Caenorhabditis elegans: one gene and its partners. The protein of the gene in region 3 purifies or fractionates together with the protein of the main gene of each other region. This does not show direct contact. Each region holds a gene or a part of one and is shown on either strand. Other genes may lie near its edges. The genes, in order: snu-13, Y48A6B.3, C43E11.9 and F10E7.5.

Region 1 (5,742 bases), on a different chromosome or scaffold from region 3:
TTGCAATTTCTTCTCTAAAAAACTGTCCAATTCCACGTTTTTGATCATCCGTATGTCTAACAATTTGATCAACTAGCCATCCAAAAGTGTATGCATGATAACCAGTCTTTGTTCCAGGAGCCCATTTTGGCTCTTCTTCTTCAATAATTTGCCGCATTTTTTCATGATCCGCGGCGATTTCTTCAGTGATTGGAGTGTCAAACCATGCCATTCCAGACATATGAGAAAGTGCCATATTTATAGTAACATTATCTCTTCCATGAGTTCCAAATCCTGGCCAATACTTGGATACTGGGTCATCATATCTCAATTTTCCTTGCTCGTAGAGCAGTGCAACTGCTAATGACGCGGCAGCTTTTGTAGTCGAGAACGTCACTGTTATTGTGTCCTGAAACAATCAATTTTTTTAAAAATTTTTGTGTTTTGCTGATATGTCACAACTTTTTTCAAAAATGTTTTCTCTGTTTTTGTGCCATTCCATTCAATTTTATAGACTTCAAAAACCGTTTTGAACCGAAAAACTCCCCGTATCAAATTGATATTATTATCAGTTCATATCAATCTGACGACAGTGGAAAAATATATGTCGAAGCTATGAGGGAAACCGACGATAAATTATTCCAAATAAGGGCAAAGTATTAGATTGGGTTAAAGTTTGGAAATTCAGGTGCGAAATTTTGAGTCAAAAATACTGTCTCGACACGACAAGTTTCATGATTTTTTTAATTACTTAATACATTATGGAAACAAAAAAAGCTTACGAAAATAATGAGAAAACTACGATAAATCGATAAAAACTCCGCAACAACAGATGTTAAAAGTTACAGTATTCTTTAAAGGCGCACGTCTTTTCGCATTTATTATAAATGTGTCGTGGTTAAACCTATGGAACCGTATTTTTGTGTGCACCTTTAAACAGTACTGTAATTTTGAACTTATATTGCAGCGGAATTTTTCTTATCGATTTTTCGTAGTTTTTCGATAAAAACAAATTTACTTATTGGAAAAAAAACCAAATCTCGAGGAAAATTATTTTTTAATCGAAAAAAAACCTGGGGAACCGTATTTTTGGTGCAAAAAACCCAAGATTTATAGTAAAAAAGTTTGAAATTGAAAAATGCTTGATTTTATTTTTTTTGTTTTCAAAAATCTACCTCAGCCCACTTCCTTGCCGCCTGCTTATCAGCATATCCACCCCATAAATCGACGACTTTCTTTCCATCAACAAATACAGCGAATGCTGATCCTTCGATTTCCCATCCATTTTCGAAATTCTTTCTGTAAAAATACAAGTTCCAGGATTTTTGCAAGACATTTTCCTTTTCTTTTTTTTAAAATAAAATAAAGATGACGATAGAAAAAGATTATTTGCCTGTACGCATGCCGGCAAAGTAAATATTAATTTCAGTTCAGTCAAACACATTTGTCACTTCACACGGGTAGAAAAATGAGAAAAAAAGAGAGCAGGAAGGTCGAACTTACTTAAAAACCTCTCGAACTTTCTCGAAACGTTCATCGACAAATCCACTAACATCGGATTTGTGATTTGAATATAACCGATCACATACAAAGCGATAAGTTACAGATAATAAAACTGTGGCTAGAAATAGTTTGAAGAGTAGAGAAAACTGTTGCATGTTGGTGGGAACACGGAGCGGCGGGAATGGAGAGACAGAGCACACGGAGATGGGCGGTGCTTGCCTTGCCAGAAACCGTCTTTTCTCCCGGAGGAAGCGACTCCCTGTAGTTATCAGCGATTGCCTTTTTTTTGGCGGCCCTATCGGGTTGTGACGGCGTTTGGGGTGGAATTAGCAAGCCAATGGTTAGGAAGAGACACATTCTAGGGCAAACGGGGGTCGAATTAGAATGCAACCGGTTCCGGGAGGTTTATTTACTCGCATCATCATACGCCAATGAAGTACTTGTGTGTCCAAGATACACTTTAGAACAGTGTAGCCGATTATGCAATTTGATAACAATCAGATGTCCATGTTTCGCAGAAACGTTCATTCTTTTTCAAAAACGATGTATTTGCAATTTGGGACAACAAAACAATGAATGGATTATCATATAACAACAATGAGGTAACGTAACAACAAATTGATAAAAGAAGGATTTAGATGAGAAGCTTCTCAACGTCCTCCTTGATCTTCTGAATTTGAGATTTGAGCTGAGATCCTTCGTTTTGAGTGATTGAAGCAGCGATCACTGGACGAGTGACTCCACAAGCGCGTCCGAGGGCAGCCTTGCTGCGAACAAAGACGTATGGAACGTTCTTGTCTTCGCAGAGAAGTGGAAGATGGAGGAGAATCTCCAGTGGCTCGGCATCGGCGGCCATGACGATGATCTGAAACAATTCAATTAATTTGGTTCGAAAATTGATTTTGAAAATGGGAATGCAATTCAACATGGTTACGATACACTTACCTCAGAGATTCCTCTGTTGAGAGTCTTGGTGGCCTCGTTGGCTCCCTTCTTGAGCTGTTTGTAGTTCATCGCTTGCTGGACGAGATCCATGAGCTTTTGAGACAAGTTGGTATCGGCCAGTGGGAAGGCCTTCGGATTGACTCCATCATCGGCCATTTTTCTTCTTTTCTGAAATAAAGATGGTTGAAAATTGCTACAATGCGAAAGAATTATTTATCGATTCAAGAGAAAAAATAATAAAAACGATTTCAAAGCTGTAAATTCAAATTTTTACGATGATTTGCACTAGTAACATATCTGAAAGTAATAGATAATCAAAATTCCATTTATTTTTAATTTATTGTACCAACTTATTTAATTTCCGAAGAAAAATACAACGGGCAACGGGAGAAACAAAAGAAAAGAGAAAAAAACTACTTGTAATTTTCGAAAAGGGCCCAAAAAGAGACGCAGACAGTGGACGGGTCTCGCAGCGACAAGATGTTGGCACGCTGCCAAACATGCAGTGATTCTTTTTTATTCGAATTTGGCTGCATTTATTTTCGATTTAACCTGAATTTTACATGTTTTATCTGATTTTTATCGATTTTAAACGAAATTTCGATAAAAATCTAACTTTTTCTAATAGTTTATGCCTTTTCGATAGATTTTTACATGTTAATTTTGAAATTACGTCGCCGGTTTAAATTTATTGAACTACATTTTGTTTTTCTATTTTTCAAGACGAAAATTGATTATTTTATTTTCAGGAATGTCGGGGGAGGAGAAAGAAAAAGTAAAAATTCTCCATGTCGCCAACATTTCGACATCGGCTACCAGGGATCACATCTACAACATGTTCAACTATCTCGGAAAAATTCAGGATTTGAAGGTTGGTTTATTATTCCAAATTTACACATTTTTCGATTAAAAATTTCAATTAAAAATTTATTCTTTCAGGTCTATCCATCAGAAGGTAATATCACAGCTAATACTCTCCTGAAAACTGCTTTTATCAAGTTCGACGACGAGCGATGTGTCGAAGTAGCTCAGCATCTCACCAACACAGTCGTCATCGATTGCGCGATAGTCTGCCTACCATATCCGAATCGTGAGTTTTTTGAAAGCTGCATTTTTTCATAAAGTTTCATTTTTTCAGCTGTGATTCCGGACGAGGAGAGTTTTTTCAACAGTGGTGGATCTACAACGGCTGGTCAGCGACAGCTCCCACCTCACGTCACCAATAAAATTCAAGAATCTGACGATGGATCTGCTTTGGTAAGTTTATTTTCCCACTAGTTTTCCAACTAGCGTCTGGTGGTAACGGACGTTACTTGTTCATTTTACAGTTCTACTGGCCACTACCCAAATGACGAATGCAGTAAAATCCCGAAAGCGTAATCCAGAAAATCATCAAAAAACTTTGTTAGTACTCGCCGAATGATTAAATTTTCAGTTTCAGTGTATCCTCGCCAATCTATGCTGCGCATCGTCGGATATGAAAGCAATTAAATTTAGAAATTTTCAAATTCCTGATATTTTAGAAATTGCAATATTTCTAGTTTTCGCGCCGTCTAATTATTCCATTTTTCAGTTGATTACAGTCGATCCGACACTGGAGCAGCTCGGACTACCGGCTTATCCACCTCTACCGGCTGACACGGATTCTGCCAAAGTCGAAGAAATTCGAAGAACAGTCTACGTTGGAAATCTTCCGAAAGGTGTTGATGGAAACGAGGTTCTCGAACTGTTCAACATGTATTTTGGAGAGGTAGGTTAAAAACGATATTTTTGAAAGATTTATTTCTATCAATGTGCATTTATTGGCATTTTCATTCCTCTCTTGCTAGATCGACTTGCAATTGAAATTTGGCTTGACGGGCTTCCAGATCTAGAAAATATCAGTTAGAAATCAAGTTATCAGAAACATAGAAAATTACCTATCCTTGAACTTAAAAATTGTATTATCAATAAGCCATTTCTCGAAGAAAACAAAGCACATTGCTCCATAGTAAAGAAAATTGAACCAAAATGTCATCCACCAAAAGCTGCGCATCATTCCTGTTCCAATAGCCATATCGACATTCTCGATCATCGAACGGCTTCCATAACGAAGTCCGACATATGCGAATCTCAGCATATACACCACCCACGCAAGAGTACATCCGAATTCCATATAGTCTTCGAGCTGTTCCGAAAGTGGTCTCGGCAGAGTAATTTTGTTCCAATCTTTCAATCCTGCCGGAATCAACTCAAACATATCCTGACATATGGTACATTGAATGTTTGATGTTGTACGGACCCATTGCTCCAAGCATCCATTGTGAACGTAGGCGACTGTTCCGCTACAAGAGCATGGCTTGATCAGACTGTCGGAACTCTAGAAATATATTGCTAAATTAGAAATTGAAAAGAAAAATTACCGTATCGTTATCGAAACATATTCTGCAGATTACGGTTTTTGTAGAAACTTCCTTCGGTGACCGAATAGTTTCTAAGTTTCTCTCGATTATTGTGCACATAATTTCAAAACGAGTAGAAAGTTTGCAACCGACAATTTAGAAATGAATTAGAAATTTGAAAAAAATACAACATTTGTATTTAACAAAATTAAATATATTTTCACGTTTCAGGTAATGTACGCCAGAATGGCCTCGGGACCGGATGCATTGCCGTGTGCATATGCTTATGTTGAATTCTCACAGCAAGCGTCAGTGTGCAATGCACTTCAAAACGATGGATTCGAGTTTAAGGAGAGACCATTGAAGTGAGTTTAAAGTTTTAATTTTTTTAAAGGTTAATGGTGATTTTCTCAAATTCAGAAAAAAAAACCATAAAAGAAAAACAAAAAAAAATATTTTGACACAATTTTGGCTAATTTTCCGCCGTTTTTCTTTTATGGTTGTCTGTTTTTTAATTTTTAATTTTTTTAAAAATTAAAAACCCCGTCCACGCGATTCTACCTTTAAAATAAGTCAACTAAATTTTAAAACTTTTAAATCCAATAATTAAAATATTTTTCTTCAGAATTCAACACTCTCGCGTTGCCATCATCAAACCACAAGCCAAAACAGACGAACAAGCTCTTGGAGAAATCGAGGAAGCGATTCGGATGGGTAGAAACGGAGATGATCGGGATCGGCGCCGTTCGCGATCACCACGTCGTCGTCGTTCGCCGTCACCGCGTCGCAGACGGGATAGTCGTGATCGTGACCGTGACAGAGATCGTGACAGAAGGCGAAGTCGCGACCGAAGATCTAGAAGTCGTGATCGTGACCGTGATCGTGACAGGAAGAGAAGCCGTAGCAGAGATCGTAAACGCCGCAGTCGCAGTCG
Region 2 (6,098 bases), on a different chromosome or scaffold from region 3:
TATGCCAATCTATTTTTTGGTATGTCAATCTATTTTTTGGTATGTCAGTCTATTTTTTGGTATGTCAATCTATTTTTTGGTATGTCAATCTATTTTTTGGTATGTCAGTCTATTTTTTGGTATGTCAATCTATTTTTTGGTATGTCAATCTATTTTTTGGTATGTCAATCTATTTTTTGGTATGTCAGTCTATTTTTTGGTATGCCAATCTATTTTTTGGTATGTCAATCTATTTTTTGGTATGTCAGTCTATTTTTTGGTATGTCAATCTATTTTTTGGTATGTCAGTCTATTTTTTGGTATGTCAATCTATTTTTTGGTATGTCAATCTATTTTTTGGTATGTCAATCTATTTTTTGGTATGTCAGTCTATTTTTTGGTATGTCAATCTATTTTTTGGTATGTCAATCTATTTTTTAGTATGTCAATCTATTTTTTGGTATGTCAATCTATTTTTTGGTATGTCAATCTATTTTTTGGTATGTCAATCTATTTTTTGGTATGTCAATCTATTTTTTGGTATGTCAATCTATTTTTTAGTATGTCAATCTATTTTTTGGTATGTCAATCTATTTTTTAGTATGTCAATCTATTTTTTGGTATGTCAATCTATTTTTTGGTATGTCAATCTATTTTTTAGTATGTCAATCTATTTTTTGGTATGTCAATCTATTTTTTGGTATGTCAATCTATTTTTTGGTATGTCAATCTATTTTTTGGTATGTCAATCTATTTTTTGGTATGTCAATCTATTTTTTGGTATGTCAATCTATTTTTTAGTATGTCAATCTATTTTTTGGTATGTCAATCTATTTTTTGGTATGTCAATCTATTTTTTGGTATGTCAATCTATTTTTTGGTATGTCAATCTATTTTTTGGTATGTCAATCTATTTTTTAGTATGTCAATCTATTTTTTGGTATGTCAATCTATTTTTTGGTATGTCAATCTATTTTTTAGTATGTCAATCTATTTTTTGGTATGTCAATCTATTTTTTGGTATGTCAATCTATTTTTTAGTATGTCAATCTATTTTTTGGTATGTCAATCTATTTTTTGGTATGTCAATCTATTTTTTGGTATGTCAATCTATTTTTTGGTATGTCAATCTATTTTTTGGTATGTCAATCTATTTTTTGGTATGTCAATCTATTTTTTAGTATGTCAATCTATTTTTTGGTATGTCAATCTATTTTTTGGTATGCCAATCTATTTTTTGGTATGTCAATCTATTTTTTGGTATGCCAATCTATTTTTTGGTATGTCAATCTATTTTTTGGTATGTCAATCTATTTTTTGGTATGCCAATCTATTTTTTGGTATGCCAATCTATTTTTTGGTATGTCAATCTATTTTTTGGTATGCCAATCTATTTTTTGGTATGCCAATCTATTTTTTGGTATGCCAATCTATTTTTTGGTATGTCAATCTATTTTTTGGTATGTCAATCTATTTTTTGGTATGTCAATCTATTTTTTGGTATGTCAATGTAAATGCTGTATTTTTCAAAAATTCAAAAGTACTATAAAATCATATGAAGCGCTTCTTTTTTATTTTATAAAACTGTTTAGCATTGCCAAATATACCAGAAAATACCAAAAAAAGTATACTAGCTTGTCCGCAAGTATTTTAAAAAATTGATAGAAATATATAAAAGCTGTATTTTTCAAAAATTCAAAAGTGCTGGAAAATCATATGGTTCTAAATTACCAGATTATCCCAAATTTCATAACAAGATTTTCAAGACAATGTTCAACTTTTATTCATAAATTAATTGCTTCAGTTTGAATTATCCAAACTTGGATGGTAGGTCGAATCCCATGATGATATGTCGGTCTGAGGCAGGTCGAATATGGTTAGCTCGAGGTTTTCCAACAACCGACAAGATGGAGAGTACAGCAAACACTAAAACGCAATAAATGTTCATTTGAAGAACCGAAGTGAGGAAAAGGTTTGTGATCGGAAGGCTTTTATTCCACCCACATCGATAAAGTTAGTTCCGGGAGCGGGAGCATCAAAGATGTATGCTTCGATGCTTAAAAACCTTGTGATCATTTGCACGGAAAATATAAGTTTGCAAATACACTCAAATCATACAACGCAAGTCGAATTGTTAATGTTAGGGGTTCCAAAACGCCTGCCTGCCTGACCTTAAGGCGGCCTCCGCCTGCCTCTCGTGAGGCCCTGAAACCGTGCCTGCCTACCTAGCCTCAACTACCTAACAGAAAACTGCTCAATATGTAGGAGCATTTTGGACTAGAAAAATAAATTTGAAATTTTTTAATTTTGTCTCGCACTTCTTTAGAGTCCCGTAGATTAACTCCAATTTGGGATTTTTTTTTTTCAAACTTTCTACTTCAAAGTCCCATTTTATTAGGTCATAGATTTTCCATCTAAGCCTAAGCCTAGGAATTAGCCTAGGCCTAAGCCTCAGTCTAAGCCTAAGCCTAAGCCCTAAAAACTGAAAGGCCTGCGGCGCGATTAACAAGATTATAAGCCCAAAAAACAGAGTTTGAATGTTCAATATTTATCAGTAATCAACAGAAACTGCACAAAAATTATTGTGGACGTGGTGCACCGATGATGACTCCGCTTCCGTATCCACTGCTTCCTCCGCACTTCTTTCCTCCTTGTGGCAAGAAGATTCCAGAAACTGAAGAAATAGCCAAGATGGCGAAGACGCAGACAGAGTAGACGTTCATGATGATGATGAAGAAGAAGAAGATGCTTCTGATGCTTGAATTCTGGAAGAAGTTGGCTTTTATAGTACCGTGTAGGGGGCGGGTGGGGGGTTCGGGGACATAAAATTGTTATATTTTAGTTGCGATTTTGATGATAACTCGTAAAAATTGAAGTTTGAGCGTTTCGGGGAAGCGGAGAGGCTGCAAAACTTGCAAAAATCGGAGTCAGGAACAGTTGAAAATTCAACAAAACGAATTTCCCTGAAAATCTCTAATTTGAATTCCCGCCAACGAATTGTCTGCGTCTCCACTCTCTGGGATGTGGGCGAACGCGCTCCACTGCACATTTCGATTCGATTTCTCTTTTTTCTCTTTTGACGCATTTTCACATAATTATTGTATTTTTCGAAGTTTTCTGCGGGTTTTCTCCGATTTTTTTCGATAAAATTAAATTTTAAAATTCGGAAATATAATATTTATCAATTTTAAGCCATGAAATATCGTAAAATTCCTATGTAATCACCCATAATAGGATTTTTATCGATTTTTTGTTGCAAAAATCCCATTTTCATTGTTTTTCTTTTCCTAAAGCTAATTGAACTTTGCGGCTAATTTACACGATTAACTTATGAATTTTCAGAATCAAAAAATGGGCAAGCGCAATCTGGACGAGACAATGAACGAGTCGACCGTATCAGAAGCCAATGGAGACGCCACCGCACCAACCACCGAGAAGGACGAGTACCAGGCACTTTGCGAGCTGGTAAATCATTAATTTCGCTGGTTTTTTAATGAAAAATGTCTTATTTTCAGGTAAACCCAATCGCTCAGCCACTAGCAAACCGCAAGTTGGCCAAGAAGGTGTACAAGCTCATCAAGAAGGCCTCCGCCGGCGATAAAACCCTCCGTGAGGGCATCAAGGACGTGCAGAAGGAGCTCCGCAGAAACGAGAAGGGAATCTGCATTCTTGCTGGTAGGATTTTAATCTATTTTTCCCTTAAAACGTTCAATTTTTCAGGAAACGTCTCTCCAATCGATGTGTACTCACATATTCCGGGAATCTGCGAGGAGAAGGAGATCCCATACGTCTACATTCCATCTCGTGAGCAGCTCGGACTCGCCGTCGGACATCGTCGCCCGTCGATTCTGATCTTCGTCAAGCCGAGTGGGGACTTCAAGGAGCTGTACGACGAGGTCGCCGAGGCTCTCCGTCATCTCACCGTCGAGGCCGCCTAAATTGTTTTTTCTCTGGTTTTCACTGTTTTTTTTTTGTTGTTGATTTTTTAAAATTTCTTGATCTGTATCACCATCTTTATCCACAATTGTTCACTCATTAAATTGTTGTTATCTACAGACTTTTTCTTTTTATTCTTTAATCCTTTCTCGGTAATTTCCAAAACTCAATTTTGTTACTCGAAATCAATCTAAATCACAGCAAATCCCGTTCTAAACCACTTTCAGCTCAGAAAATGCTCGCCGAAACGCTTGTGGCGCCCGGCGACAAGGTTCTCGACGCGATTGGTGAATATCGAATGGGGAAGGGATTATACGAGGCGAATCGAAGGATCTTCGCGTCGGTAGCCGGTTTTGTCAACGTTTATGGATTCAGAGATGTAATTTTCGCACAAATCGCAAGCGTGGAGCCCGAAAATTTCCGTTTTTTCTGCAGAAATCCGACAACCTGGTGCAAGTGATCGAAGTTCGCCGCAGCGAAGATCAGCTCGACAATGAGCTTCTCCCATTCCACGGAGCCATCGTCACCGCCAAAGTGATGGCTGTCGGATTACGGTAGAGCAGCTTTTCGTTGCTCTGAAAACCGACAGAAAATATTGCAGATTCGCCAAATGTGACATCATCAGTATCGGCGATAAGGTTTACAAGAAGCGGTTCTCGGCGCTGCTGCCGAAAAAGAAGCTGAGGCCGCTGGAACCTGAATTGGTTGGATTTTGCCTGGATTGTGGGTCTCGCCACGAAAAAATTAAGAATTTCTGCTTACAAATGTGGGAAAAACCTTTTTTTTAGCAGAAAATTAGGTTTTTTTGCGAAAATTCTTATGAAATTTCGCATAAAAATGGCCGATTTTAAGGTTTTTTGCAGAAAAGTCGTCAAAATTCCTGATTTCTTGTGGAAACATCGGAAAAACATTGATTTTAGACTGATTTTCACTAAATTTCAACTGAAATTCTCGGTTTTTTACTCAAAAAACAAATTTCCCTCTTTTTTCTTATTTTAAAGCGATTTTCGAGCAAAATTTTTTTTTAAACATTAGATATGGGCCGAAATCGTGGCGAGACCCAAACTGAGAACCCAAGTAGTGTATCGCACAGAAAAAGAGGCGGAGCTTAAATTCGCAACCCTGCGGCACGGGGTTTCCTTCCTTTTTCGCATGTTTTACACTGATTTTTGTTGATTTTTTTCAATGAAGTTTAGATTTTACTAACTAAGAAGTGAAATTTTAAAAAATCAATAAAAAATGCAGTAGAAAACTGGCAAAAAGGTGGAAAAACCGTGCCGGAGGGTTGCGAAATTACGCTCCGCCTCTTTTTCTGTGCGATACTGCTTTAGAGGCAAAAAATTGAAATAAAGAGCATTTTTTGCAGAGTGAGCCATTCAAAAACTTTGTGCGACCCAACGACTACATTCTGGCAAAAGTTTGTGAAGACGCCGAAATCAAGGACAAATTCGTTTTATCGATCGCCGAAGACGAGCTAGGCGTTGTGCTGTGCCGTGGACGATTTGGTGAACCAATGCAAAAAGTCGACTGGAATACGGTGGTCTCGACACGAACCGGCAAAACGGAACCCAGGAAAATGGCCAAAGTTCCGCAAAAGTGCACATTGCCCACGCAATCGGTGGCCTGAATAATTATCCTCTCTGAAAAGATCTTTGAATCGTTATATTTTTGTACTTTTTTTTGTGTTTTTGGGGGCCATTGTTTCGAGGAAAAAAAAGTCATAATTGTTCCCCCACTCATTCCTTCCTTTTTTGTTGAACAATTTTTCAAAAAAAAAAAAATGTTTCTCGGTTTTTTTTTTTCAACTTTTCAGGTTCTAGAATTTTTAGTTTTTCCATTTTTCCGGCGGAAATTTTTTTTATAATTTCAATTTTCAAAAAAGAGTAACTGAAATTGTGCGAAAATTCAAATTAGCCCAGTAACCGCGCCCTATTGAGAATTTACCGGTCTCGCAGCGAAATGTTGACTTTTTTCTTTTGAATTGCTTATAAACCAAGAAATTCGGCGATTTTTGTGAAAATATAAAGTTTTCGGTCTGGACACAACAAATTTTTGTTAAATGCAAAAAGGTGTGCGCCTTTAAAGAGTACTGTAGTTTCAAAATTTCGTTTCTGCCGAATTTAAATCGATTTTCCAAATTTTTTCTCACGATTTGTTTAGCTTTTTGCTAAAAAAAACATACG
Region 3 (6,166 bases):
TTCCCTTCCTTGGCGAGGCCTCTGATTGCTTCGACGGCGATACCTCACTCTGAGAAAACGATATTTTATTGTTAGTATAACCTCAAAATGGAATTACCTGTGGAGTGGTCGTTCCCGATGCTTCACTTTCTGTTCTCTTCCGAGCTTCCGCCAGTGCCGCCGATTGCCTTGCCAAATATCCAGCAACTATCGGATTCTGCTCATCAACCACCGGATCGTCTCCTTGTGCTGCGAGAGCCTGTAAGCATTAGTTTGGAATTTTCATTTTTATTTCTAATTTGGCAAGTACCTCTCTAAGCCTTTCCTGCAGCACAGCTTTCACCCCTTTCGTGGATAGTTGGCGGTTTTCGAGCTCTTCTTTCAGTTCTGTCACTTTGAGTGAAGACAACGGACGTCCGTCCACTAAAATATCCTCGTCCGCCATACTGTATCGATTTTTCTGATAAGCTAGGTTTCGAAACCTGCAATTAGGAGAAAAAATACGTTTTTTTTTTTCAAAGATGGTGGAAATTAAAGAAAAAAAATAAATATTGTGTTTTAAAATTCGAAAATAAAAATGCGCAAAGGGAAAGGCGTCAGCAATAGTCGCTGGCGTCAAAATTATTGAGGAAAGTGCGCTCTAATGCGAGAAATAAAATAAATCGCACCGATTCTCCTATTTTTCGTAATTTATTTTATTTTCCAGATATGTAATTAATTTCTTTGGCGTTCTCCAATTTTATTTTGTTTTAAAATTTAACATATAGCCGAACGTAAACATAAATATTCAAAAGCTTTGAGCAGAAATTTCAGTTTTTATCGATTTTGCAGGGTTTTGCTTTAAATTCCCAATTCTTTACGTTGTAAGCTTGATAATTGCGAATGATTTCAGATGAGTAGTAAATCCGGATCTACTCGCAAATCTCAGAGGGCACGTGATTTTGAAGAATCTGAAGAAACAGAGGTACATATTTTTGAAATTCAAATTTAAGCTGTCATTTCACTTTTCTTTAGAAACCTTCTCTAACCCGGCGAAAAAGTTCAAGATTATCAACACAGTCTGTACCAATTGAGAAAAAGGTTTGTTTTTTATTGTGCTTCGATATCGAAAGAATTCGATTAAAAATTAACACATCTTCAATTATTCCAGAAGACTCCCTCGTCAAAAACAACGAAGCGTGTGCCGGTAAGCGAACGAGTGTTTCACGAAGAAGTTGAATCAAGTTCCGAAGATGAATTGTTGCCCCAAACAAAGATGGCATCTGAAGAAAAACGAAAATTGCTTCTGAGTCCCGGATCATCGCTAGCAGATCGTGTCGAGAAACTTGAAGTTAGAGCACTAGGAATGTGGAATAACTGAAATGTTAAATTTTTTAGATTTCAAGCCCACGAGCCAGAGGTAGACCACGAAAAGCTACAAACTTGAAGAGCCAATTGACAACTCCACGTACTCCGGAAAAACAGTCGAGGTCACGATCTGGATCTCAGGGAACACCAGAGAAAAAGTCGCGAAAAGAGAGCTCATCGGAATCTGACAGCGAAGAAATTATTTCAACATCTTCCGAAGGGGCTTTGAAAGGAAGACGTGAAGAATTTGATTCACTGAAATTATGGATTATGAAAAGTAAAGAAACGAATACTTCGTTGTCTATTTATGTCAGTGGACAACCTGGAACTGGAAAAACTGCGACCACAATGAGAGTTCTTAAATCATTGGGAAAATCAGTTCGAAGTTGTATTGTAAATTGCGCTTCAACAAATACCAAATCAGCACTATTCAAAACGATTTTCGAATCTTTGGATTTGGACGGAAAGCCGAATGAAGAAATTTTTGAGAAGCACGTGAAGCAATTCAAAACTCCTCTGGTACTGGTTCTCGATGAGATTGATCATCTCGCGAATCGAAAGAACGCTGCACTCTACGCAGCTTTTCAATGGCCAGAGACGTTGTCTCGAAAAATTATCATTCTTGGAATTGCAAATTCGATTGATTTGACAGAACGACTTCTTCCAAAATTGATGCTCGCGAAGCCACCGAAAAGACTCGTTTTTGAACCGTATACGAAAGATGACATCGTAGAAATTTTGAATGATAAAATGAAAAACGAGGAGGTAAGTTTAAATTTAAAGGATGAGTATCGGTTTTCGGCTTGTATAGACTCAAAATGTACCAAAAAAAACTAATTTTGTAGTGAGAATTTTCAAAAAAACAATTATGGTGGCTAAAAAATTTCGAAGAAAAAAGCTATTTTTAAATAAAATCACCAATTTCGCCCATTTTCTAAGAACTTTTCAGCAGTCTCATTATGAAATTCTTTCGTTTGCGCACATTTTGATTCTTTCCAAGCGAAAAACTCAGAGAACCGGTGCTCCTAAGTTCATTTAGTATTTTACATTTTATAATTTCAGACTTCAATTGACGCAAAGGCAATCGAGTTAACCGCTCGTAAAGTGGCTGCAATGAGCGGAGATCTTCGTACCGCACTCCACATCTTCAAACAACAAAAAAGTCGTATGATTCCTGATGATTCAAAAGTTCCTGGTACCCCAGTTAATGGATGTCGTGAAGTTCTTGGAATCATCAACAATGTCTATTCGTCTCCATTGGCTCGTGCTCGTCTTCCACTTCAACCTCGAATTCTTCTAGCTGTCTCTTTAACACTTTCTGCCAACAAGAAATGCACATTCGATCGGAATTCCCTGCTCCGTGCCTATTATAAAGCTTGCGAGGCTCTTCGAATGCCCGCTCTTGATGACGATGAACTTCATTCAGCGTTCCAGACTCTCGAATCTCAATCCTTCGTCCGTCAGTTAAACGGCGGAAAGCTAGTTCTTCAAGTTGATGCTCCGACGGCAAAATCGGCTATCAGTGACAACGCGATGCTTGATCAAATTGGACTCCTTCAATTTTAATCGCATCTCCTGTAACATAATTTATATCCACTTCTATTTATTGAAATATTGAAAAAGTTTTGAATTTCTTACTTTGGCATTTCCCTGTAAACTTTATCATTCCTCTCACTTCCTTTCAACGCGTTCTCTCTTCTGAATACCTGTCCCTTTACCTTCGGGTACACGTTCTGTGTAATTTATAAACGTTCTCCATATTTATTACAAAACTTTTTGCTCTGAATTTTGGTTTTATATTCCAAAATTTTTTATCTTTATTTTATTATGTCTATAATTATTCTACCCATTTCTTAATTATTCAGATGCGTCCACTGACAGAAGAAGAGACATCGCTTGTATTTGCCAAGTTGGCCTCGTTCATCGGAGACAATGTCTCGATGCTCATCGACAGAAATGATGGAGATTATTGCTTCAGAAATCACAAGGTATTAATTAATTGTTCTTTATCCAATAAAAACTCGATTTGTTCTTCAGGAACGTGTCTATTACTGTTCGGAAAATCTGATGCGTCAAGCCGCCTGCATTGCCCGTGAGCCACTTCTCTCTTTTGGAACTTGCTTGGGAAAGTTCACCAAAAGCAAAAAGTTCCATCTCCAAATCACCGCTCTCGACTATTTGGCGCCGTATGCCAAGTTCAAGGTGTGGCTGAAGCCGAACGCCGAGCAGCAATTCCTTTACGGAAACAACATTCTCAAGTCTGGAATCGCAAGAATGACCGACGGAACTCCAACTCATGCTGGAATCGTCGTATACTCGATGACCGATGTTCCATTGGGGTATGTTCACATTTAATATTCAAGTTAATTAAATATATTTCTCTAGATTCGGAGTGTCAGCGAAAGGAACATCAGACAGTAAGCGTGCCGATCCAACTGCTCTCGTCGTTCTACATCAATGCGATCTTGGAGAGTATCTCAGAAATGAGAGTCATCTCGCTTAATCGGATTTTGGTCTCCATTCAAAAATTTTAAATTCCACAATTTTTCATTTTTCATTGTTATTCTCTTGTTGATGTTGTTTTTGTTGGTCTTCCTTTCAAAATTTTTCATTCAATTATAAAAAATTCAATCTAATTCTGATTCATTCAGGATTCACTTATTGAACAAAAAATTTGAAAAGGTTACGAGTAATAGGCCTAGTTAGTTGAGGTAAAAGCTGAAGAAGTCGAATCGGTGCATCGTCTCCATTTGCACGAAAATATGAAAGCAGGGATACCATGGATGGAAATCGATCGGCAATTGCTTCGGCTCGATTCTGAGACATTCCCGGGCAAACCATCAGCTGTCGGACCCAAGCTTCTTTCACAGTTTCCGCCTTCTTTTTCTGGAGAAGATTCTGGAGTTGGCTGAATGGAACACCCGAAATTTCTTCTATGGCCGCTTTGTTCTGCAAACGAATCGTCACTTCCTTGAGAAATGCAGCTGTGTCTCGAGTATCAGAGCATCTTTGAATAAGATATCCTCCATTGGAAAGAGTTGATGCTACGGCCTGGAATTTTTGTTAGAATTTTGAAAAATCATCAGATTCTAATTCTATATTCTACCTGTTCGCAAGCAACATCTCCTTTATGTTGAGCTTCAATCAAATAAACTCGATTCTTCATCGGAGCCATATTCAATCGTCCTTTCTGCTCATCATATCTACCTCCACGAATACTTGATTGCAGATCATCCCAAGTTTTCCGTTCTACAACCCAATCCATCACAATCTCAGTTCCATCAATCTTTCGACAAATCCATATGTAATCTCCAACGGAAAGAGAACGAATATCAACTCGAATATCTTCTTTTTTCACGAGATGCTCGATTACCGACTTGAAACGTGGATTGTTGCGATGCTCACGATTGTCTGCGATTAGATAGACCTGGAAAAATACCTCGTTTTTTTTTAATTTGAAGGTGGAGTAAATAGCTGACCATTTTTTCGACACCAAAACATTGGGTTTTTGATGAAAATTTGGTTTTTTGTTGGTATTTCACTTTTTGCACTGCAACGATTTTTGCATATTTTTGTTAATCGTTTTTAAAAAATATTGTTAAATGTTTTTTTTTCGAGCTCAAAAATGTTCAAGTTTCAAAATCTTTTTCGATAAATTTCGAAGGAACGGACGAAAACTTATGAAAAATGGCAGAAGTTTCTGCAACTTATTAGGAGTTGGGAGCTACAGTACTCCTGAATATTAGTCGCTTCGAGATCGGGTACCGTATGCAAAAACCGCAAAATCTCGCGAGCCAACCAATAAGCGTCTTCCAACTCCGCCCACTCCATCTGATTGCTGGGGCGGAGCTATTCGCTGATTGGTCGGACAGTTCTCATTTCGGAGGGAGTTCAAAAATCTTTTTTTTTTAATTTTCCATTGGATTTTCTATTACTTGCCGATTTTTTTCTATTCTGGAATCCTTTTCTGCAAAAATTAGATTTAAATACTAACAGTTGGCTGCTCAAAAGGTCGACAAGTGAGAAGTCTGAAAGATAATGGATCTGATGAATTAGATGATGATGAGGAAGTAGACGAAGAAGACGAAAGATTTCCACTTTGTGATCGTATCAAGCTCGGCTGGACGGGCTTCGAAACTTGAAAGCTTTTCGTTTTAGTGAGTGGAACACTTGGTTGCTTGTCATCATCTCCATCCGATTCGAATTCATTTTCTATATCAACAATGGTTTTCGTTGATTTCTGTTTTTCCAATCTTTTCGCATCCTTCATCCGTTCTGTTGTTGATTTTCGATTTGTTAAGAACCGGCGATAATCGTCTGTCGTGAATTTTTTGATGCTTCGTAGAGTTGGATCCTGGCCATTGTTCTCTCGGCAGGCGACGTTCCACGTTTCTTCCAATTTTAGAGCAATATTCTCTCCGATTCCTGAAAATTCAATATATAGATTTTAAAAATCTGGAATTCGATTTTTTTATTTATTAATACCCTGCACATTTTTCAAATCAACAATTGTCAGAATCTCGAATGGGCACTTTCTCAGATTCTCGTGAGCTTTGTGCAGAACATATTTGAGCTTCCGATCTTCTTGCTCTTGATGTTGGAATTTTAAAACTCTGAAAATTGACGAATAATTTCTTTGGATCAAAATTTGAAAATTACTTTTCGAAAAAAGTGTTCTTCGAATGCTCAATTCTCACTGTGACCCGTTTTGATTGATTCGACATCTGAATAGAAAAATTTAGGAATATCTCAACGCGCTCCATGGCTAATCGAAAACACTCCGCCCCCGAGCCATGGGTCTCGTTAGGAATTTAATTAATTTCGGAAATGTCTGCAATTT
Region 4 (6,180 bases), on a different chromosome or scaffold from region 3:
TCCTCCAGCTTCAATGCCTTCTGATTTGACTGGCCCTAATGGAGATACTTCAGTTGAATTTGTTCGTAGAGCACCAGCCAAGGGAAGCATTTACTATGGCGTTGGGTACAACTTTTTCTGAAATTGATTTTTTTTTCAAATCATTAGTGTTATAGTTATAATCCAAAACGACATCGACGTGAGATTCTGATCAACACTGCTCCACGTTCACCAAAACAATTTGTAATGAAAAATGGATATCCAGAAATGGAAATGGTCGGAGAATTAAGAGTTTTCGAGAATCCACAAGATGTTGAGTATTACGGTGAGATTCGACAACTATTAATACTCAGACGCGAATTTTTGAGCCAAAGGTTTTAATAAAACGGGCGTGCGCCTTCAAAGAGTACTGTAATTTCAAATTATCATTGCTGTTGCGGAATTTTCATTGGTTTTTTAAATCATTTTTCGATAAAAACATATTGTGAAATTACAGTACTCTTCAAAAGACGCACGCCTGTTTTCTTTTAAAAAAACATTTGTCGCGTCGATACCAGGTACTGTAGTATAGACCCAAAATTCGCAAATTTCGCGCCTGAGAAATGCGTAAAAATGCTAAGTACTTCAATTTTTTATTCAGAATCCCAACGATCCTCCGCTTCAGCTACATCGTCTGTCTGCGAATCACAATCTTCTACATTGTTCTTCTGTCTTCTTGTTACTGCTCTCGTTGTACTCTCGATCCTGCTCATCTCGCTTTTCTTGCTAGTTTCCTCTCGAATTCGTTCCGGCAAAAACAATTCAATGCATTTCGCACAATGATTCTCCATCTCATACACTGAGATCCGACCTAGTCGTGTTGTCTTTTTATATTTATTGCATTCGGTATAAAATTTATTCAGTTCAAAATTTTCAAATAAACACGAATTTGATACAACAAGGCCATTGACCAGACCCGTTTCCTCAAATAAAATATTAAAAACTAGAAGCTAAAATGGACCTAGTCGAACAGAGGAAATTAACTTATGATTGTTGATTTCTTCTAGCCAGTTGATTTGTCTTCTGCTCGAATTGAATTCGCAAGGCTTCTTCCTTAACATCCACATACTCCAATTGTGCTCGTAGAAGCGCTGTATCCATTCCCTTCTCTTGAGCTTGCTTAATTTGTTCTCGAAGCATTTTTCTCTCCAAATTGGAGGTCAAAATGTGTGGTGGAGCGCTCCATATTTCGTCCAAATCTGATGGTTCTCTGAGCCAACCGAAATAGATTACAATTGCTATAAGACTTCCGATAGCTGATAGCACTTTTTTGTTGGCATACGCGTCTGATGAGTAGTAATCTGGCTTGAATTGTGGCATTCCTCGAGATCCACGACCCTGAAAGACATCTACTAAAATAATTATTTATGCTTCGAGGTAATTACTTGAAATGCGGCACTTTGTGTAAACTTCGGTTCAGGTGCGTTTCTCTTGGTTGCCAATCCTCTGGCTTGAGCTAATATTGAGGAACGAGATAACAAAACCCTCCACATGTTCCTGAACAATCAGCTTTCTCGTTGGTTTATAATCATCATTGGATATTTAATAAGTTTGGGATTTAACCTCCTTCTATATTTATCAATATTAATACTCTGAAACAAGTAACAATTTATTGGATAAACAAAAAAACAAGATGATAAACGACAATTTTCGGATGGAGTGGGTGTTTTCAAATCAAGGAGAATCAGAATCAAATCAACAAATTAACAATAAAAGGATGATTAGCAGAAGTTAAGCATCAAGCTCTTTGAAGCCGTCTTTCTTGTTCCAGTGAGCTTTGAAGATAAGACGGAATTGAGACATCTTCACTTCGAAGTGCTTCAAGATTTTAGCCTGCTCCACAGTCAGCGGTTCGCCTTCTTTGCACACCTCAAACTGTTGGTAGAGGGTGATAACTCCTTTGTCAAGTTTCGTTGGGAGACCAAGTTTTCGCAGTTGTGGCTCCATAGAGAAGGCAAATTGTGAAATTGGTCCTTCTGGTAGAACAACTGTCTCTGTGGCAACATCTCCTACACGAGCGTAATCTTCTTCTGAAGCTTCGGAGAATTCACTGAAGATAAAATGCTATTAGAGAAGCAATGGTTACTCAAAACTTACGCCTCAACTTCCTTTTTGGACATGTTGGTGAACATGAGACCGCATTGACCCTTCAGAATTGCACTGGCTTTGTGAAGCTGATTTGCGTACTCATCAGACTTCTGTTTTCCAAGAGCGATAGAAATGACATTGTTCTTTCCGAAGAAAAATCTTGAATTCTCCTTGTACTTTTGTCTGATCTGTAATTCAAAAGTAATCAAATTTTAATTCAATCTGATTTTAACTAACGGCAATGAATCGTGTGCTTCTCATGTTAGCAATCGTGAAAATGAAAAGGTTTTTGTACTGATCGACACTTGCACGGACCTGGAAAAAAATAATTATTTAGTCAGCACTTCACTCTTAAATTTTACCTCATTAACCAAATTGTTCTTTGTGTCCTTAGTCTTCTTCTTGACTTTTGTGAGTGACACTGAAATATAAAAAGTTTGCCTATAATTTAATTTTACAACAAAATTACCATTTTTATCTCTGCGGGAACGAGCCATTGTGTAGAGTACTGCTGAAAATTACAATTTAATTGCAATTTAAACTATAAAAAGCTGAAAAGTAGCAGTAACAACATAGGAAAAGTTGAAGAAATGAAGAAACAAGAAAAAAAAACAGAGAAAATGATTGTGTGCAACTGCGCGTAGTGGTGTTTGCGTACCTTTGCACACCGTAACCAAAACTAATATTCAAGTTCATTTAAAGAAGTCTCAATAGCGGAGAAGATACAAAAATTGGTTGACATTGTCAGATGCTATGATTTCTTTAAAATAGGTTTAATGAGAATGTAGTAGCGGTAACCTTAAAATAAGTTTCATCTTTTTATGGTTTCAAACGAAAAAATATCAGAAGGGGATATGTAGAATTATAGATCCAACACGAAACAACACGAAACAAAACTTTCCGAGTTCCCTATGTGAAATAATACATGCTTTCTGTATCAGTTCTTTGAGATGGAATATCCACGTTGAAGTTTCAGACAGTTTAGACTGAAAATCTAGATCAGTTTCAAGTTTCAGAAAAAAAATTGGAAGATGGTAGGTCCCTTCTATATCTGAATATTCCCATAAGATTCATCTGCATCCCAATTAGCCCAATCAAGTATCGTCAGATGAGAAGCTTCTTCTTCTCTTACTTCATCTCCTTTTCTCGTTTCCCTCACTTCTCTCAATTCACGTCGTCGCGCATACATGCTCTTCGAGCAAGAGCCATGAGCTCTCCAAATCAATAATGCCGTCTCCTCTCCATGTCGCTTTTAAATTCCACTTCTCTTTTTTTCTCTTCTTTTTCATTTCGAAATTGAAACCGAATTTCAGAGGAAATGTCGAATAAAAGATTGAGGAGGATGTAGAGACGCAGAGTCATTTTCTCGTTTTGTTGTGAGCACTGCATTTTTCTTTCTTTTTTTTTTTGGTTCATCCATGCATTCTCTCTATTTTCCAGACTCTTAAATTTGCGTTTGAACGATGAAAAACAACAGGTTACCATAAATTCATTCGATTGCCAAAACTCAATTGTTAGATAAATTCGACTAGACATAGTGCTCCATTTGAATTAAAGCGTATCATCTTTAATACATAAAATCTCAAAATGTAATTTATTCAGTTTCTTCAGTTTCCGGAAATTCCCAATTCCATATCTCAATCATCATGACTCGAATAAAAGATGGAGCACGCTTCATTGAATATTTGAAATTTTTGAAACAAAATCTTGAATTCTAAATTTTCGTTATTTAGCAGAGCTGTTTGCAAATAGTTGCAGTTGAACAAAACTACGGTTTCGTGTCTTGGCACGTGGAACTTTCCAGCTACAGTACCCGCGCGTACTCCGCTGTTCTACCTCGGATACCTCTAGTTTTAAAATATTTTTGTTGCAAATATCGTTAAAGATTCACTATTGGAACTAATTCAAATATGAAAAAGGATAATGCAATGTGAAAGATTGAAGGACTATCCTACTTGCGGGTACGGTAGCTAAAAAGTTGCACTCGTGCCAGGACCCGAAACCATGAAAACTTGAAGTTTTCCGGAAACAAGTAATTAGGTTTTTAGAAAATCAATGAATGACCAGTTCCTAGTAGGATTCTACACAAGATTGATTTGAAAGATATAAACGAAAACCACAAAACTATTCCGTTTAGAAAAAGAACACAGTATTTAGTAATTTAAATATGTATAGTGGTTTAATGGATGTTCATCAACGGTGAGCGTTATATGTTAAATTGAAAATGATTCTGTAAAATTTCTTGAAATTCAATTCTCAATAATAATAATAATAATAATGTATTTTCATAGTTCAGGCTCAAAAAAGATAGATCATATGCAACCAAAATAGTCTTACGAAAAATCGTATCAAATTCTAAAATGTCTAACTTGGTTCTATTTATTGACTTTTACTGATAAATCCTTCAGAACATAATTTCCAAACATTTTCAGGCAACCATCATCGCCGTCTCATTTGGGTTCAGATCCATCTTCCAGAATGAGTGAGACGGGTCCGTCGTCATCACATTCTGTGGTTGTTGAACCACCTGATTCCATCTTTTCGCAAGGAGAAACTGCCGATTCGTCGCAATTACCATGGTGGCAAAGGTACAAGATCATGAGAATTTAGATTGTAACACCTTGGTTGGTCTTTTGAAAAAGTGGGAACCGAGTTTAAATAAAATGTAACATCTAAATTATTTCTTTGTAATTCAAAACCTTCAAAAAATAGGCGGGGTGTCGTAGTAAAGACAACACAGATATAGTAGATTCGCAAAGTTTCAAAATATCGGCACGAGCTCAGTTACCGTGATCGCTATAGCTCCCAAATTTCACAGATTTCTTAACTTGATGTAGAAAATAAAGTTAATGAAATTTCGAATTGTTACGTGCACAGAAAAAACCGCAATTTACATTTCTTCAAACTGACTATATAGTCTCATTCATCATATTTTTCTGTTTCCCTTTAAAAAAGAGTAGCTCTTGAAAATTGAACGCCCAACCGAAAGACACTTTCTATTACTGCTCCTTCTCTCTGGACTTAACACATTCATTATCCACTGGATGGAATGAAGTAATGAAATCTCTTTTTTCTTTTTTTTTCTCTCAATTCCATTCTCAGTTTTTGTTTTCCCCCATTCGGAACCCTTCTGTCTCCAGAGAGCTACTATGCATTTTTATTATAACTGAATTTATTTCTGACTGAAAACAGGAAATAATGCAGAGACTTCCAGCAGATTTGAGTAAATCGTAGGTTTTTGATTTCCCGGAGGAGAACTTGATTATTTTAAATACCGTATTCCCATCTAGTTTTTTCTTGGAAAATTTTCTGTGAAAATTCTGGCAAATTACCAATTCCTTGAAAAGTTCTGTCTGTAAGAAATTTAGAGCAATATCACTCTTCGACTAGGTTGAAATCTAGATAAGATATTTATAGATTTTTTTCTTTAATAGTTGAACAATGTTTTATATACTCAACAAAAATCGAGATATTATCTGACAAAAAAGTGAACAGAAACCTAAAAATGGGGTTAAAAATGTTAAATAAAATTAAAGTTGGAGTATGGCCAGTTACGATTGTGTCTTAATATACTTATCCAAAAAGACAGAAAATTGTAAAAAACGATTTAAAATTTTGTTGATTTTTGAAATTTTTTCCAAATTGCCAAAGTTTCAAAATGTGGACTTTACGAGCAATTTAAACACAATTAAAATACAATACGCTTAGAAAAAATAGCTTGGTACTCATCCATTGAGATCCTGCAAGTTGGATACAATGACTACTGTAGATACTTTCAAAGCAAGATTTTGAAATATTCCAAAAACTATTTTCTTTGATTACTGACCTATTTCAGAACAATCCTAACAAAGGATAAAGTTTTATTCGGAACTTGGGATGGTGTCTTTGCAACTGTTATGGTTAATATCTTTGGTATTATTGTATTCCTTCGCTTAGGATGGATTGTCGGAACAGCAGGAGTTGCTAATTCAATTCTTCTTCTCGGAATATGTACATCACTTGCTCTTATTACCGTATTCTCTGCCATAGGAATCGTTGAAAGATGCCAGATTAAAGTATATTCAAAGTTTATTT

The links.
Region 1: the proteins of C43E11.9 (region 3) and snu-13 fractionate together in Caenorhabditis elegans (co-fractionation; one large-scale study listed by BioGRID). This does not show direct contact.
Region 2: the proteins of C43E11.9 (region 3) and Y48A6B.3 fractionate together in Caenorhabditis elegans (co-fractionation; one large-scale study listed by BioGRID). This does not show direct contact.
Region 4: the proteins of C43E11.9 (region 3) and F10E7.5 fractionate together in Caenorhabditis elegans (co-fractionation; one large-scale study listed by BioGRID). This does not show direct contact.

Annotation. Positions count from the first base shown.
Region 1 is NC_003280.10:10,656,032-10,661,773, forward strand, and holds snu-13 (Small nuclear ribonucleoprotein associated homolog 13), read right to left. Parts: upstream 2,596-5,742; 5' UTR 2,584-2,595; coding exon 2,428-2,583; intron 2,348-2,427; coding exon 2,117-2,347; 3' UTR 1,996-2,116; downstream 1-1,995. Other genes in the region: lact-3 (Beta-lactamase-related domain-containing protein), read right to left, coding at 1-388, 1,155-1,278, 1,483-1,637; rsp-7 (putative splicing factor, arginine/serine-rich 7), read left to right, coding at 3,179-3,298, 3,367-3,517, 3,566-3,684, 4,001-4,177, 5,040-5,173, 5,434-5,742; marc-2 (RING-CH-type domain-containing protein), read right to left, coding at 4,216-4,297, 4,347-4,786, 4,830-4,928. UniProt on the Caenorhabditis elegans protein: Binds to the 5'-stem-loop of U4 snRNA and may play a role in the late stage of spliceosome assembly. The protein undergoes a conformational change upon RNA-binding.
Region 2 is NC_003281.10:11,004,901-11,010,998, forward strand, and holds Y48A6B.3 (Putative H/ACA ribonucleoprotein complex subunit 2-like protein), read left to right. Parts: upstream 1-3,321; 5' UTR 3,322-3,330; coding exon 3,331-3,444; intron 3,445-3,494; coding exon 3,495-3,654; intron 3,655-3,699; coding exon 3,700-3,917; 3' UTR 3,918-4,029; downstream 4,030-6,098. Other genes in the region: fipr-17 (FIP (Fungus-Induced Protein) Related), read right to left, coding at 2,559-2,702; exos-1 (Exosome complex component CSL4 homolog), read left to right, coding at 4,151-4,294, 4,351-4,469, 4,517-4,619, 5,282-5,542. UniProt on the Caenorhabditis elegans protein: Required for ribosome biogenesis. Part of a complex which catalyzes pseudouridylation of rRNA. This involves the isomerization of uridine such that the ribose is subsequently attached to C5, instead of the normal N1.
Region 3 is NC_003279.8:4,264,993-4,271,158, reverse strand, and holds C43E11.9 (60S ribosome subunit biogenesis protein NIP7 homolog), read left to right. Parts: upstream 1-3,191; coding exon 3,192-3,314; intron 3,315-3,363; coding exon 3,364-3,665; intron 3,666-3,711; coding exon 3,712-3,829; 3' UTR 3,830-3,960; downstream 3,961-6,166. Other genes in the region: acin-1 (SAP domain-containing protein), read right to left, coding at 1-49, 98-238, 290-424; cdc-6 (Cell division control protein), read left to right, coding at 872-943, 994-1,059, 1,130-1,309, 1,357-2,091, 2,389-2,892; mus-81 (Crossover junction endonuclease MUS81), read right to left, coding at 3,985-4,377, 4,433-4,753, 5,321-5,751, 5,812-5,939, 5,986-6,050.
Region 4 is NC_003280.10:7,108,415-7,114,594, reverse strand, and holds F10E7.5 (Ribosome assembly factor mrt4), read right to left. Parts: upstream 2,615-6,180; 5' UTR 2,604-2,614; coding exon 2,576-2,603; intron 2,528-2,575; coding exon 2,469-2,527; intron 2,422-2,468; coding exon 2,344-2,421; intron 2,295-2,343; coding exon 2,116-2,294; intron 2,069-2,115; coding exon 1,750-2,068; 3' UTR 1,613-1,749; downstream 1-1,612. Other genes in the region: cutl-5 (ZP domain-containing protein), read left to right, coding at 1-105, 156-304, 620-801; F10E7.6 (uncharacterized protein), read right to left, coding at 1,003-1,356, 1,404-1,511; F10E7.9 (Amino acid permease/ SLC12A domain-containing protein), read left to right, coding at 4,585-4,694, 5,942-6,161.